4 linked regions of the Macaca fascicularis genome follow. The protein of the gene in region 1 purifies or fractionates together with the protein of each later gene. This does not show direct contact. Links are inferred from orthologs where the notes say so. Each region holds a gene or a part of one and is shown in the gene's direction. Other genes may lie near its edges. The genes, in order: SMC1A, NIPBL, PDS5B and PDS5A.

The links.
Region 2: the proteins of SMC1A (region 1) and NIPBL purify together in Homo sapiens (affinity purification with mass spectrometry; 3 studies listed by BioGRID and IntAct, with this or other methods). This does not show direct contact. The link is inferred for Macaca fascicularis from reciprocal best matches to the Homo sapiens genes SMC1A and NIPBL.
Region 3: the proteins of SMC1A (region 1) and PDS5B purify together in Homo sapiens (affinity purification with western blotting; 8 studies listed by BioGRID and IntAct, with this or other methods). This does not show direct contact. The link is inferred for Macaca fascicularis from reciprocal best matches to the Homo sapiens genes SMC1A and PDS5B.
Region 4: the proteins of SMC1A (region 1) and PDS5A purify together in Homo sapiens (co-immunoprecipitation; 8 studies listed by BioGRID and IntAct, with this or other methods). This does not show direct contact. The link is inferred for Macaca fascicularis from reciprocal best matches to the Homo sapiens genes SMC1A and PDS5A.

Annotation. Positions count from the first base shown.
Region 1 is NC_088395.1:53,398,948-53,402,753, reverse strand, and holds part of SMC1A (structural maintenance of chromosomes protein 1A), read left to right. Parts: intron 1-383; coding exon 384-466; intron 467-619; coding exon 620-827; intron 828-3,806. UniProt on the Homo sapiens protein: Involved in chromosome cohesion during cell cycle and in DNA repair. Central component of cohesin complex. The cohesin complex is required for the cohesion of sister chromatids after DNA replication.
Region 2 is NC_088380.1:37,299,490-37,303,295, forward strand, and holds part of NIPBL (nipped-B-like protein), read left to right. Parts: coding exon 1-1,311; intron 1,312-3,806. UniProt on the Homo sapiens protein: Plays an important role in the loading of the cohesin complex on to DNA. Forms a heterodimeric complex (also known as cohesin loading complex) with MAU2/SCC4 which mediates the loading of the cohesin complex onto chromatin.
Region 3 is NC_088391.1:12,291,620-12,296,206, forward strand, and holds the start of PDS5B (sister chromatid cohesion protein PDS5 homolog B), read left to right. Parts: upstream 1-1,554; 5' UTR 1,555-1,698; intron 1,699-2,158; exon of another isoform or gene 2,159-2,537; intron 2,538-4,587. UniProt on the Homo sapiens protein: Regulator of sister chromatid cohesion in mitosis which may stabilize cohesin complex association with chromatin. May couple sister chromatid cohesion during mitosis to DNA replication.
Region 4 is NC_088379.1:39,173,474-39,177,279, reverse strand, and holds part of PDS5A (sister chromatid cohesion protein PDS5 homolog A), read left to right. Parts: intron 1-1,891; coding exon 1,892-2,052; intron 2,053-3,806. UniProt on the Homo sapiens protein: Probable regulator of sister chromatid cohesion in mitosis which may stabilize cohesin complex association with chromatin. May couple sister chromatid cohesion during mitosis to DNA replication.

The DNA of each region.
Region 1 (3,806 bases):
GTAGCAACCCTATTATTAAGCACTTAATGTGTATTCTATGCAGTGGAGATTACCCACATTTTGCAGATGAGGAAACAGGTACAGAAAGGCCTGTGAAGCTTTTATCTTGATTTGAGCCTCCATGGTTGGTGAAGAAGATGCCTTGGCTGAGTAGAACACCTGTGAGAGGTTCTGGAGATCTGGGAGGCCCCCATCATCAGTTAGTAGATCCAACCGAACACCATCTATGTCTGCTTTTTAGTAGGCCTCCTATATTAGTGACAGATTATCCTGGACTGTTGGGCTCTTGGATGAGTGGGCACATAAGGGGTGTTATCTAGGGCTCCCGTGGTCTTGGCGTAAACTTGTGCAGCCCTTGGTGATAGAATACGTTTGTTTCCCAGGCCAAGATCAAGCAAAAGCTGCGGGAAATTGAAGAGAATCAGAAGCGGATTGAGAAACTGGAGGAATACATCACCACTAGCAAGTATGTAGCTCTGCAACTGTCCCCCTTACTTCCAGGCCTGTTCTTGTGACCCTACCTACCTGCCCATCTTCATGCAGGACCCCCAGAGCCTCTCTGAGCCAGGAGTATTTTTCTCACCAGCAGGAGTAACTCCTGTGTGCCGTCACTTTGTAGGCAGTCCCTAGAAGAGCAGAAGAAGCTAGAGGGGGAGCTGACAGAGGAGGTGGAGATGGCCAAGCGGCGTATTGATGAAATCAATAAGGAGCTGAATCAGGTGATGGAGCAGCTAGGGGATGCCCGCATTGACCGTCAGGAGAGCAGCCGCCAGCAGCGAAAGGCAGAGATAATGGAAAGCATCAAGCGCCTTTACCCTGGCTCTGTGGTAAGAGCAGAGGGGGAACTCATTTCCTGAGTACTTACACTCACTGTCACACGATTTTCCCAGCAGCCCTTTGAGGACCAGGTTGCCAATCCTATTTTTATTGTCAGGGGAAATGAGGCTCGGAGAGGTTTAAAAAAGCACCGCTTCTAAGTGGAAGAACTGCAGTTCAAACCCAACTTGTTCTCCTAAGCTCATGTTCCTTTTTTTTTTTTTTTTTTTTTTTAAATTTTTCAACCTGTCATACTAGGCAATCATGTTCTTTTCATCATAACAATTACGTTTTTCTGAAGGGTTTGTCTTGCTGTGTCCATGCCTCTGGGAGGGGAATTGGAAAACCAGGAAAGATTTTGGAGGCAGGTGGGACCATGGGGCTGGAATTACTCTCCCAGGAAATAGCTCTGTGCAGTCTTCTATATGGGCTCTCTTGGCATGTATTAACTGGCCCAGTAGCTTTTAGGGACACCCTGAGCTTTATCAGACCTCTTGATCTTTTGACCTCTTTCACCCAATCCTGAGTTCCCAGGTTCCTTGAATATTATCCCATACCTGGGTTCAACTTAGTTTGGTTCCACTAATATTTCCCTGTCACTTCTCTAGAGGCTCTGCTGGGGAGGTAGGTATGATTAGAGTCAGTCCCTGCTCTCTTAATCTGATAGTTCTTAGGGAACCAGGCTTGGTTTTGGAGACTGCGGGAAGGGAACTGGTAAAAGAGATGGATTGATTGATTGATTGATTGATTGATTGATTTTGAGATAGAGTCTTGCTCTTTCGCCCAGGCTAGAGTGCAGTGGCACAACCTCGGCTCACTGCAATCTCTGCCTCCTAGGCTCAAGCGATTCTCCTGCCTTAGCCTCCCAAGTAGCTGGGATTACAGGTGCCCACCACCATGCCCAGCTAATTTTTTTGTATTTTTAGTAGAGACAGGGTTTCACCATGTTGGCCAGGCTGGTTTTAAACTCCTGATCTCAAGTGATCTGCCCGCCTCAGCCTCCCAAAGTGGTAGGATTACAGGCGTGAGCCACCACGCCCAGCCAGATTTATTTCACTAAGTACTTGTGAAAATTTGAAATAATATATGTAAGATATTTGGCATAGTGCCTGGGTGGCGGTGGTCTGTAAAATGGTAAATGAGGTTTAGAAAGATGATCCTGGATTCAGACACGACTGCTTGAAGTCATTGCTTGGGAGCCATAATAGTCTTTTTCTTTATAGGATGGGGGCTGTGTTCTTCTGTGAGATAGGGAAAAACCGAAGTGTTTTTTCTACTCTCACACAACCAGCACAACACTTCACTTCTGACACCAGAAGTTTTGGGGTTTTTCCTCACACACCAAGCAATTCTCCAGCAGACACCAGCTGGGTGACCTATAATTCACTTCAACTCTGACACTATTTATCTGGAGATAGCATCAGATCCCATGGGTTAGGGGCTCAGTCTAAGACTTCAGATGCCAATTGCAAGTCTCAGGTTGTGACTTGTGGTTCTGACTGACCTGCTGTAAATTACAGTTCCTGAGAATCCCTCCCTGGGTTCGATTAATTTACTAGTGCAGCTCACAGAACTCAGGAAAATGTTTTACTTATGTTTACCCATTTATTATGAAGGATATTACAAAGGATGCAGAGAACAGCCAGATGGATGCATAAGGCAGGGTATGGGGGAAGAGGTGTGAAGCTTCCATGCCCAATCTGGGCAAGCCACCCTCCAGGTACCCCCACACAGGGGCTTCATTATGTAGGCCTGATTGATCAAATCATCAGCCATCGGTGATCAGTTCAAACTTCAGCCCCTCTCCCCTTCTGAAGGTTGTGGGGGTGGAGCTAAGAGTCGCAAATCTCATCCTGCCTTGGTCTTTCTGGTAACCAGCCCCTATCCAGAAGCTATCTATGGGCCTCTAGCCATAATCATCTCATTAACATACAAAATGCTCATTCCTGAGATTCTAAGGGTTTTAGGGGTTGTGTGTCGGGAACTCCCGCGTAGAAGACTAAATATATATTTCATAAAACACCACAGTCCACTTTGATCTTCAAACGCAGATCCGTTACATCAGAACAATCATGTAATAGAAAGAGGCTGGGGGCCAGCGGATCACTGGAGGTCAGGAGTTCGGGACCAGCCTGGCCAACATGGTGAAACCCCATCTACTGAAAGTACAAAAATTAGCTGGGCATGATGGTGGGCACCTGTAATCCCAGCTACTCAGGAGGCTAAGGCAGGAGAATCACTTGAACCTGGGAGGTGGAGGTTGCAGTGAGCCGGTATTACGCCCCTGCACTCCAGCGTGGGCTGCAGAGTGAGACTTCGTCTCCCAAAAAAAGTAGAAAAATAACTGGTACATTACTAGAATCCCATTTAGTCATTAATTAATAATTAGTTTAGTCCATGATCATGTCATGAAAATGTTTCCTAGGGTGAGACCATTCAGGTTTGCAGGCTTTTATTCAATCTTGTTAGGTTCCAAAATGAGGAGTGTTCTCAGCAAACATAGCTTCACACTTTCAGGCATCTGGGATAATTGTGCTAAGAGACAATATCTCATGCTCTGAACCTGTTTTGAGGTGTTAATATAATACTGAGTTTCCCTCATTACATAACTCATTTATTCTTTACCTCCCTTCTGTTGCCCAAACTTTTCCACCTTTGGAAGGGACATTAGGATTGGCCACTGTGCTGATCTAGAGTGCACACAGCAAGCCAGTCTACAATTGCCTCCTCCTCAGTCCATACAGTTCCATTCAGTTAAGGTAGGGTTACTTGGGTACAGAACTAGTGGGCTGTCTTTTTTGTTTGTTTTGAGACAGGGTCTTATTATGTTACCCAGGCTGGTCTTGAACTCCTGGACTTAAGCGATCCTCCCACTGCAACCTCCCAAGTAGCTAGGATTACAAGCACACACCACCATGCTTGGTATTGGGTTATCTTAACCACTAGGCAATACAGTTGCGTTCACTTCCTGATATAGATTCTAGTCTGTC
Region 2 (3,806 bases), on another chromosome or scaffold:
CTGATCCTGAGCTTTCAAAGAGTGAAATGAAACAAAGTGAAAGCAGATTGTCAGAATCTAAACCAAATGAAAACCGATTGGTGGAGACAAAATCAACTGAAAATAAGTTAGAAACTAAAGTTGAGACCCAAACAGAAGAACTTAAACAGAATGAGAGCAGAACAACTGAATGCAAACAAAACGAGAGCACCGTAGTTGAGCCTAAACAAAATGAAAATAGACTGTCTGACACAAAACCAAATGACAACAAACAAAATAATGGCAGATCAGAAACAACAAAATCAAGGCCTGAAACCCCAAAGCAAAAGGGTGAAAGCCGGCCTGAGACTCCAAAACAAAAGAGTGAAGGGCGTCCTGAAACCCCAAAACAGAAGGGTGATGGAAGGCCTGAAACTCCAAAGCAAAAAGGTGAAAGCCGCCCTGAAACTCCAAAGCAAAAAAATGAAGGGCGACCTGAAACACCAAAACACAGGCATGACAATAGGAGGGATTCTGGAAAGCCATCTACGGAGAAAAAACCTGAAGTGTCTAAACATAAACAAGATACTAAATCTGACTCACCTCGGTTAAAATCAGAACGAGCTGAAGCCTTAAAGCAGAGACCTGATGGGCGATCTATTTCTGAGTCACTAAGACGTGACCATGATAATAAACAAAAATCAGATGACAGGGGTGAATCAGAGCGACATCGAGGAGATCAGTCTAGGGTTCGAAGACCAGAAACATTGAGATCCTCTAGTAGAAATGAACATGGCATTAAATCTGATAGTTCAAAAACTGATAAACTAGAACGAAAACACAGGCATGAATCAGGGGACCCAAGGGAAAGACCATCTTCTGGGGAACAAAAATCAAGACCTGACAGTCCTCGTGTTAAACAAGGAGATTCTAATAAATCAAGATCTGATAAACCTGGTTTTAAATCACCAAATAGTAAAGATGACAAAAGGACAGAGGGTAACAAGAGTAAAGTAGACACTAATAAAGCACACCCTGACAATAAGGCAGAATTTCCAAGTTATTTGTTGGGGGGCAGGTCTGGTGCATTGAAAAATTTTGTCATTCCGAAAATCAAGAGGGATAAAGATGGCAATGTTACTCAGGAAACAAAGAAAATGGAAATGAAAGGAGAGCAGAAAGACAAAGTAGAAAAAATAGGATTAGTTGAAGATCTAAATAAAGGAGCTAAGCCTGTAGTTGTTCTACAAAAACTGTCTTTGGATGATGTTCAGAAACTTATTAAAGATAGAGAGGACAAATCAAGAAGTTCCCTTAAACCTATCAAGAATAAACCATCAAAGTCAAATAAAGGTAAGAATACTGATGTCATTTATAATATAATCGATTTTAAGTGCTAAGGTTACTAAGTATTAAAAAGGAAATTTACAAAAATTAGAAAGCTACTACGTGAAAATATAACATCTATGTCAAACAACAGTAAATTTTTTTCAGAAGTATAGATAAAGGTTTCCAATGAATTTTTTTTCCCCACAGTTTTTTTCTTCCCACCCACTACTCAAGGTAGTTATGAATCTTACTGCTATTTGGTTACACAGAGATAAGTTATTTGGCTGTTTAATTATTTCTTATATTCGTTATTTCTTATGTTAATCAAGTGAATGTTGTATTAAAATAGCTGTCTTTAAAAACTCTCTATAGTCTTACAATACTATATTCTTACAGACCTGTGTTTGAGCTAATTATCGATGAATAGTTTGTATAGTTTAGAAAGTTATATAAAAGGTTATTTTTCATTTTGTTGGGGAGATGGTTAGTTAAATATGTTTTATATTTTTAAAACATATCTTTTTGTCCTTGTTTATGCAAAGGTAATAGGGAACGGTACTTACTTTTTAAATTTGGTTAAATTGTAAGTTTGTGGGAGGCAGGGGGACTGGTGTTATTTTTGCATGGTTTCTGAGTTAAATTCTCTGGTTACTTGAGTAAGATTATTTCCAAAGGGATAAGAATGTCTTAAGTGCCAAAAAATAATGACCATTTGTGCAGAAGATATACTTTTGTATCCGTTTGTACACAAGTATTTAAAATAACTTTTTTTATTTTTAAATAGAGATGAGGTCTTCTTGCTTTGTTGACCAGGCTGCTTTCGAACTCCTGGCCTCAAGCGATCCTTTTGTCTCAGCCTCCCAAAGTGCTGGGATTACAGGCGTGAGCCACCATGTCCATGCAGTCTAAATATATTGAGGTGTAGTGAAGGCGATAGAACTGAGAGTTTATTTGATTTTGAGTTTTCCTTCTGTGAAAGAGAATTATTAAGAATTTAGATTTAAACTTATATGTAACCAAGTATATGAAATCTGGAATTGCATTGGCTGAGATGGTAGCCATTACCTTTTTTGGCTATTTAAATTTAAATTAACTAAAATTGAAAGTTCATTTCATCAGTTGTCATACGTGGCTATTGGCTACCGTATTGGACAAAACAGAACATTTGCATCATCACAGAAAGTTGTATTGCATAGCACTGCAGTGCATTAGCAGATATGAAAAGTGTGTGGTTATTGTTTTCATAACATGCTGTTGTAACTTGTCTACCAAGAAAACTCTTTGAAAACATATTATAAAGAACTCTATTCAAAGAATGACTTGTGGCTCATCTGTTGTTATTCTTGCTTGGTCTTCGTCAGCATTCATTTCTTCACTGTTAATTTATTTGATTTTGCCTTACAAAAATGAAAAAATATTGCCTTCTGAGTTACTAATATTTGTGTTCTTTGAGTGAAGCTTTTAATTTTTAGATTATAGCAATTAGACCAAAAATCAATTAAGACATCAGCCTCAATAAGTAGCCTTTTTAATTTAACTGGAATGTGTCTTTTCAGAGTTACTTGTTAATATGAAAGAGGTTGTAGAATGCGGGAGTTAACACTAGATTTGTTTTCTTTTAGGTAAAGATTTTCTTTAAAATTTTTTAGCGAAAGTTTGGGAGTAGCTTATATTTATAAACTAAAGAGTATGGCTATACAATTTTAGAAGAGTCAGGTGAAAGATGGAAAGTGGTACCCTCTTGTTCCTTTGATCTGGACCATCTTTCTCTCCCTCCCCTCTCAGCTTACCCTAGCCTTGCTTTCTAAACTCTGTTCTAACAAAGAGTCTTTTACAACTCCTTAAAGAACATCCAGAAGTGAATATAGCTTTTAGTTAGTAATTGCTGTATTATTTCACCTGGTTTTTTCACATGCAGTAATATGGCCTATGAATAAGTTTTTAGCACCAAAATGCATTTCTGATAGTATACTTTTAATGCAGATGTATATACCTGATATGGTCATGTTAGTATGTAAGTAAGCTATCTGGGTGTCTGAGTGATGTGTATGTATGTGTACATGTGCATGTTTATGTATATATACACATATATTAATGTAACTGCAATTACAATAACAGTCCTTTTCATCAAAAAATACTGTGTCAGTGCTTAAATTCATTTCAGGATGCCATGTAGCTATCTTTTGGATTAATTTATTTATGTCTTAGGATCCGTATCTTTTTTTTTTTTTTTTAGTAATGTTCTAATTTTGGTTTTATTTTAGATTTTTGCTACTCAGTTTAAATAGCAGAGTTGGTTAATTGTGGATTTTTTTAATTGCATGTACATGAAGCACAGTTGTAGATTACTTACCCTTTGTAGTACATATTGGGGTTTTCTTTGGAGATTCACAGAAAATCACATTTTGATGTGTTGATGATTTTCTGAGTAAAGGAATTAGTCTGAATATTGCTGGGATACTTTTATGGTTGGTTCCTAGGGCCAAAATTGAAAAGCCATAAATTTCCATCTTTTAAAT
Region 3 (4,587 bases), on another chromosome or scaffold:
ACTGCACTCCAGCTTGGCGACAGATCGAGACTCCGTCTCAAAAAAAAAAAGAAAAAAAAAAAAAGAAAAAAAAAATTCTTGCTCTCATCCTGCCGTTCTTCTGAAACTTTCTTGCTTCCTGGCTTTGGAGGTTTGGGAATTGAAGAAAATAAAGTAAAAAAGATAAAAACAACCAAAGAGGAAAGGTTTTTCTAGATCTAGACATCCTACTCTCTTCTTCCATACAAGATTTATGCTGATGGAACAACAATGTAAAATAAGAAAATTCCTGAGATAATTTTAAAAAGAGAGCAGAAAAAACTCATAGTGGACTTCATCAAGGAATGTGTAAAATGGGTAGAACCTGGAGTATTCAGTGGCAAAATCTTGGACATAGGAATACAGTAACACAACATACTGGTCTAGCAAGCACTGTAGGAGACTGAAGCGGAATTGTCCAGGAAATCCCACAAAAATGGAAATGAAGAGGTCTCAGTATCTCTAGGTGCAGAAAGGAGATAGCCTTCAAAACAGCTACATGGTAAGGGTGAATGAGGCAATTACCATTAGGACAGACAGAGGAAAATGCACCTAGTATCTCTAGGTGCACAGTAACATTAGTTTACAGATCAGCATTACCTATCTTTTCTTTCAGTTGATAAGTATCCTATTGTAATCCATTCATTCACCCTTTGCTTGTTCATTGTTGAAACAAATTCTCCCTGGAACAAAATTCTAGTAACCAAATACATCATATCGGGGGAAACTTCCTTACAGAAGGGATGATATTAAAGTAAAAAGAGGAGGAAGTCCCTTCTTCAGTTCTGGCAGGGGAGGAAAAGCTTCCCCAAAGGTAGGTGATCTGTTGTGACCAGGCTAAACCCACTTGAGGGACTGGCATCCCCTAAAGGTGAAGAGGGGAGGAGACCCACCTCCTGGAATGTGTCCCTGTGGTCTCCAGATGATGTCTTCCTCTAATAAGGACAATTCTGCCAAAGGAATAGAATGCTTCGTCACAGGCTCAATTACTCTGTGTCTCCGCCAGCTTACCACCTATGAACAATTCATCAAATTAGGAAAGCGGGGAGATTTAATAAAGACACAACACATAAAGTGTAGGAAAACTATTTGTATGGCATTCCGAGACGACTAGGTCAGAATTAACAAGGAGCAAAGTAGTTAATAATACCAATTATGTTAACCTAGCACAACACCTGTGCTGAATGTCAGTGTTTAAAAAAATCTCCCAATCTTTATCTAAAAAGATAGGGCTACGTAACAATCGGAATGATTTTTGTCGGTGGAGGTCTAGTAAGCTGCAAGGGTAGTGGACGCCTTGACAGCTGCCAGTCTCGCGGCCTCCGCGGCGGCGTGCCCGTGTGGCTGCGTGCGCGCGGACGGGGCGGGGCTGAGGAGGGGAGTGCGCGCGCGCGGACGGGGCGGGGCGGAGCTCGGAGGGCGGGCGCGCGCGGGGCCGTCTGGTCGGCAGGGGGCGCTGCGCACCCATGCCGCGCTCTGCCTGCCCCCGGGTGCTGTCCGCGGCGGTTCGATTGGAGCAGCCGCCGAAGAGCGCTTGGCGCCATTTTGAAGCGGAGAGGAGGAGGAACGGCCGGGCTGGCTGCGGAAGGGGAGGGGGGAGAGAAGGCGATTGGATGCGGCGGCGGCGGCGGATCCCGGAGAGCCGCGGAGTGAGAGGAGTAGCGAGTCGGAAACCCGGAGGTAGGAAACAATTCAGTTAACGGAAAGAAAATGTCTCTCTTCTCTGGCCGCGGCGCTCCATTTTTCGGTGGCCGCCACTGCAGCTGTGTGTGTGTGTGTGTGTGTGTGTGTGGCAGGGCTGAAGCGCCGCCCGCCCGGGTGCCAGGCGCGACTCGCCTCCCGGCATCGGGGGCTGCAGCGGGCGGCTGCCTGGCGGCGGCCCGGGGCGGGGGTCGCGGGGCGCGGGCCGGCTGCGCGGTGGGGGTGGGGAGGGCCCGGCGGCCGACTCGCGCCTCCACGCCGCGGGCTCTGCCGCAGCCTCTGGAAATTAAACTTGCCGCTCTGATCCCGGCCCGGGCGGCGGCGGCGGCGGGCGGTGACCTTGCGCGCGGGCTGGGGTCCCGGGGCCGCCCGGCCGCCCGCGCCCTCCCGCCGCCACCGCCGCCGCCGCGCCCCTCCCCCCGCGCCCCGGCCGGCCGGCGGCTGTTTCCCGGGCGGCAGGCGGGCGGCGCGGTGCTCCTGTTGAATCCTCCCGCGGGCGGGCTTCTCCCCCTTCCGGGCGAGGGGCGGGCGGGGACCGCGGGTCGGGGCCGCGGGCGCCCTCGCCCTCGCCCTCGTCGCCGGCTCCCCGCGCGCCGCCTGGCCTGCGCTTCGGGCCAGGGGACGGGCTGAGCATGACATTTTTGCGCTGTTCCTCGCTGCTTGCCCGAGGGAAATCGCGCTCACCGCGCCGCCCGGAGTGGGTGCTCGGGGAACCTGAGGACCCCGTTGAGCAAGAGCCCAGCGCTGGCGTGGAGGGACTCCTCCCAGGCGACAACTGGGTTCTAGCTTTCCTTTCGGAAGGAACGGCGGGGAAAATGGTGTGCAATTGTGACTCGTTAATGTTTTTGCACTGTTATTTTAATGCTACTTTAAAAGTTTTCGGTCCGGAGAAAAACCTTGTTTGTTGTTGTTGCTGCTACTGCTGTTGGTTTTTGGTAGAGACGTGAAAGCTAACTCTGAAGTAGCTCGACAGTTATTTTGGAGGAATGACTGAAACCAGAAACGCCGCCCCTCGCCTTCGGAACTGCAGGCTGCTGCGTTCCTTGCCGCGGACGGGGCGAGCTCCGGGAAGGGTTGAAAGAGCAGCTACCCACCCATTCCGCGCGCGTCTTCAACAGCCTCTCTACCCCAGCAAGGGTTAACCCTTTTTTATGTCGAAGAAAGTGCTTCTTGTACTTTTAATAAGAGGTGATGGATGGGCAGTGGTGCCCCGACTGATCCTACCCTGTCGATGAAATAGTTTCAGAAACTTTGGATATAGCTTTAATTTAGAGGGTTGGTCTGCGGTGTGGAGAGAGTTGGGTAATCCTATACCATCTTCCTAATAAACTTCAAAAACTCACGTTGTGTTTACATGCAGGAGGCGAGCTGTAAATAAATCGTCATTACCCAATACTTGAACGGCAATATAGTCGTTGTTCTCAGTTAACCCATCCAGAGTTCCCAGACAGAACGTTTTTTATATTAACTCATGTAGTGGTCAGGTAAACTAGTTAAAAGCCACAAATATGGACTTGAAAGACAGCTCGTTATGCAGTACACATGTCTGAGATGTTCGCATCTTTAGGGACAATGAAATGAGTATTCAATGGTGTATGTGGGTCAGTTCGTGGAACAGTTAATCTTGTATCTCATGGTGATAGCAGAAAACCGAATTAAAATTTGTAGTGGTGAATAGGTGAAAGTTACATGGGACCTTTTATGTTAAGATCGATTGATTGTCAGAAACTAAAAACATTTTAAGAACGTTATTCCTTAGAAATAAGATTTGTGCTTAATATACGTTTACAAGTATATGTAAAAAGATGCACTTTAGACTTTATAAAAATTATCCAAATAGTGACTTTTTCCTCCTTTTTCTGATGGTTTAAAAAATTGTCCTCTTCTCAGCTGGCGTTTACTTAAAGGTGTATTTTAAATGGGAAGGTAGTGTTTGTGTTCACCCTTTTTCTTTTTTTCTTTTCTCCTTGTTTTGGTTAAGGCTGATTTTCCCTATATTACCTTTTACAGCAGCTTTTGTTACTCTTGTCGCCTTTATTCTCTCGTGTTATGTCTCTCCCCTCTCATTTTTACCCCCGTATTAGAGACACATGTACTGATGATAGTGATTCTTGTCGTGAGATGTTTGTATTAAGCTTACTTGTAGTAAGATTCTACCGAGTTGGCTGTTTGATGAAAGTTGTTTAAATTGTTCTGCAGCTTTGTTTAACAAAGTAACATTTTGAGGAGTAGGCTTTATCAATAATTTGTTAGGCCTAAGATAAAGTAATACTTTGTGTTAGGGCTTGCCCTGGAGAAGAATGCAATGGTAGAAAATACCCAAAACTTTGTGAGAAAGGAATATTTCGGGAAGTTGTATTCTTTCTGCTTATTCCTCTTGGGAAATTTAGAGACTGCCTTAGAACTAACAGGAGTGCGCTCAGTAAGATTTGGCTTATGGACTCTTGAATGACATGGACTGTATATAACTTATATTGGAAAAGTTATTTATGTTTCCTCCGTTAGTGTTAGAGAGCAACAAGAAAACTTAAGGATGATCTCCAACTCGCTTATACATGAGAAATTCGGTTCAGATTTTAATTTCATTGATTTATCTGAGGTCACAGTCGTATTCATGTGGTGGAATTGGGGCAGCTCTTAGATATCCTGGAAGCTGAGAAGTTTCCCCATTGTCTTTTTTTTGTTCTATTCAGGATTTAGCAATATTTATTAATAAAAATTCAGGGTAGCACATTACCTTCCATCCCCTTCTCACCTTTTTATTCATTTAACCAAGAATAAAGTTTTGTGGTTAGCCATCTGTTTCAGCGTCTGGTTTTTAATAATTTCTGTTTAGGATTCAGTCCATTTAGGTTGTCTCAGAAGATA
Region 4 (3,806 bases), on another chromosome or scaffold:
ATGTAATTTCATTGAGCTGGGCTCAATGCCTGTAATCCCAGCACTTTGGGAGGCCGAGGCGGGCAGATCACGACGTCAAGACCATCCTGGCCAACATGGGGAAACCCTGTCTCTACTAATAAAGTACAAAAATTAGCTAGACATGGTGGCACACGCCTGTAGTCACAGCTACTTCGGAGGCTGAGGCAGGAAAATCGCTTGAACCCGGGAGATGGAGGTTGCAGTGAGCCGAGATCGTGCCACTGCACTCCAGCTTGGCGTCAGAGTGAGACTCTGTCTCAAAAGAAAAAAAAAAATCATTTCATTGATAGAATTGATATGATGCCTCATGAATAAGATTTTAATTAATTTTTTTAGTAATTGAGTTGTATTTTTAAGTTCTCTTAAAAGTGAAACCACCTTTAAGGTAACATTTTTTAATAGATTGGTTTTTATTACATTTTTCTAATTTAATTCTCCAGTTTTCTATAAATAATCAAAACCACGTAAGTAAATATTATCACTGCAAGCCTTGCCAAATGAGACAGTAGCACTTAATGACCATTAAATAAGTGCTTATTGAAAAATTAATGAAGACCACCTGCTCATTCCCCTTTCTCCCTGCTTCTCTATTTGCCTCCCTAATCTTGATACTACACTAACTGAATTGTTATGAATTGTATGGAAAGTTAACTCTTTAGACATGTATCTAACTTGCTAAAAATTATTTAAGAACAGGCTCGTGCTCATGTCATAATAAGGGAATAATTATGTATTGTAATCATAATTAAAAGTTCACAATAGTGGCTTCTTTGTTGATAATTATGATGAGTGATTTCACTTGAAATATTTTCTTGCCTTGGTACAGTGGTTTATGCCTGTAATCCCAGCCAAGGCAGGAAGATCTCTTGAGCACAGGAGTTGGAGACCAGCCTGGGCAACATAGCTAGACCTCATCTCTACAAAAAAAAAAAAAAAAAAAAAAACGCCGGGCGCGGTGGCTCACGCCTGTAATCCCAGCACTTTGGGAGGCTGAGGTGGGCAGATCATGGGGTCAGGAGATCGAGACCATCCTGGCAAACACGGTGAAACTCCGTCTCTATTAAAAGTACAAAAAATAAGCCGGGCATGGTGGCGGGCACCTGTAGTCCCAGCTACTCAGGAGGCTGAGGCAGGAGAATGGCGTGAAACTAGGAGGCGGAGCTTGTAGTGAGCTGAGATCAGGCCACTGCACTCTAGCCTGGGCGATAGAGTGAGACTCCGTCTCAAAAAAAAAAAAAATTTTTTTTAGCTGGGCTGGTGCACCTGTAATCTCAGCTCAGGAGGCTGAGACCACAGTGAGCTGTGATGTTCCACCGCACTCTAGCCTAGGTGACAGAGTGAAATCCTGTCACAAAAAAAAAAAAGAAAAAAAAATTCTCATAGATTATCTTTTTGCCAGTCAAAGAAAGCTCTGAGTTAGCATTTTGTTTACATTACACAAAGATTGAGTCATTACGTATGGAGGTTTTATTTCAAGTAAGCATTCCTTCATCTAAATACAATATATTTATAAACTGATAATAGTTATTAATATTGTAAATCACATTCCATAAAAAAGGAGTTTTGTGTTCTAAGTAGCAGAGTAGACTAAGAGGTGAAGAAGAAAATAGGACAAAGGCTGTCTGTCAGTTGTGTGAAGGAATAACTGGGAGCTACTACACCACACAGTATTTCTGATAATGTCTAATTAGCCATAACTAACTGCAAGGGTGGCTAGGAGATGTATCTCTATTCTGTGTAGCTAGCATATTTACCCCAGAATTTATTTATGTATGTATTTATTTATTTATTTATTTATCACGGGAAGTATTTCTTTTTTAATGGATTAAAACAATTGTCTGTACTTCTAAAGCTGTATCTATTTTTTCAGGTTCTGTCTTTCACACATCCTACCTCGTTCCACTCTGCAGAGACATATGAGTCCTTGTTACAGTGCCTAAGAATGGAAGATGACAAGGTGGCAGAAGCTGCTATTCAAATTTTTAGAAATACAGGTCACAAAATAGAAACAGACCTTCCCCAGATACGATCGTGAGTACATTTTTTGTCCCATGGTAAATACAAAAGTTTCTAAGTGTGGGAACCATAAAATCATTGTTTTCCTTTTGTATAGGAAGTTGGGAGAGAGGAAAGACAATTTTGATTTAAAAGCTACTTTTCTGTGTCCTCTGTTTTGTCTTTCCCTTGCCTTACACCCCTCTCCCACCATTAGAATGTAGGCAGCAGAGTAAACTGAAACTACATGTTTGTTTATAACAAAATCATTTTAAGATATTAAGAATCAAAGGTTATCCCATAATTTAGTGTTTTATTTATGATTAATATCTTTCTAATCCATGTATATTCATCTTTTTTTCTGTAAATGGGTTATAAATTCAATAACTGTCACACTGCTATCCTACCAAAAAATGGGGCAAATAGTTCACTTTGGCATCTTAAAAATGTTAAGGTGAAACTTGTGCTGAGATGTTATATTTAGACTTAAAATATGCAGAAGACATCTTCTGGAGGAAAAAATACATTGCAAATGGCTGTTGAATCATATGTATTTGCAAGTAGTTCAAGGTCTATTGAACTACATACCATTTTCCTCTTATGGTAATCATAGGACAAGCAGTCTCCTGAAGTTTTTATTAAATTTGTGAACTTATAGTTTAACTTGTGAAAAATTCAGTGTTCATTGTACATTCTCTTCATTCTCAGCATTGTCTGGCTAATAAAAAAAGTTACCACAATCAGTCCCTGCCCTCGAGGAGTTTGTAGACTAGAAATAATAAACTTTATATGTATACATTATTAAAAAAAGATTATTGACACAATAGGATAGATTTTGATAAGTTTTTCAAGGGAGGAAATCCTATACATTTTTTTAAGGCAAAGGATCTATTCTTAGAGAAATTCCACCCCAAAGGAAGCAATTGAAAATGGGTATAGGTAGAAGAGGTAACTTTGGACGTGAGGAATAAAATACCTCATTCATAAGATTAATGGAGGAGAAAGGAGATAATCACTGGAAAGAAGAAGAGCACAACACTAAAGACCTCAATAACATCTCTGATGGCATCACTGGATTATACTGCTCTATAAAAAAACAAGAAGAAAGATTAAAGTTGACTTTCTGTATTATTTTATTTGGCTAATAATAATTAATAATACATTTAACAACAGTTTGATTGAAACTGTCTTCCTTTGTCATTCACGTGTTATTTTATAAGAGATCATAGTCTGGTAAATGGAACGGTGAAAGACTAAACAGATAGGAGAGAGGAAAGACATCTTCCGTGTAGAAGTGTGGCCAAGACTCAGTCAAGGAAGTCTATTTGGGCATGGACATCCCTATCTCATAATTCCAAAGTCCATAGAGACAAACTTCAGGCATATTTATAAATGTCACATCAGACTTACACCAACTAGCATATGTTCCCATTTTTGGTTAAGGTGCATGGCCTGGAGCCTGCAGTATAGCTTTTCATATCTAGCCTTCCATTATCATAAGAGGGCATTGTCACCCCTGCATTCATTTGATACCACTAACTTTATAATCTATGAAACAGGCTCTTCTCTAATAACATTAAATATATGACAAATATCTTTCCTTCTATGTTTGTTTCGCTTTATCAATTTTCTTTTTTTTTTTTTTTTTTTTTTTGAGACGGAGTCTCGCTCTGTCGCCCAGGCTGGAGTGCAGTGGCGCGATCTCGGCTCACTGCAAGCTCCGCCTCCCGGGTTCACGCCATTCTCCTGCCTCAGCCTCCCGAGTAGCTGGGACTACAGGCGCCCACAAC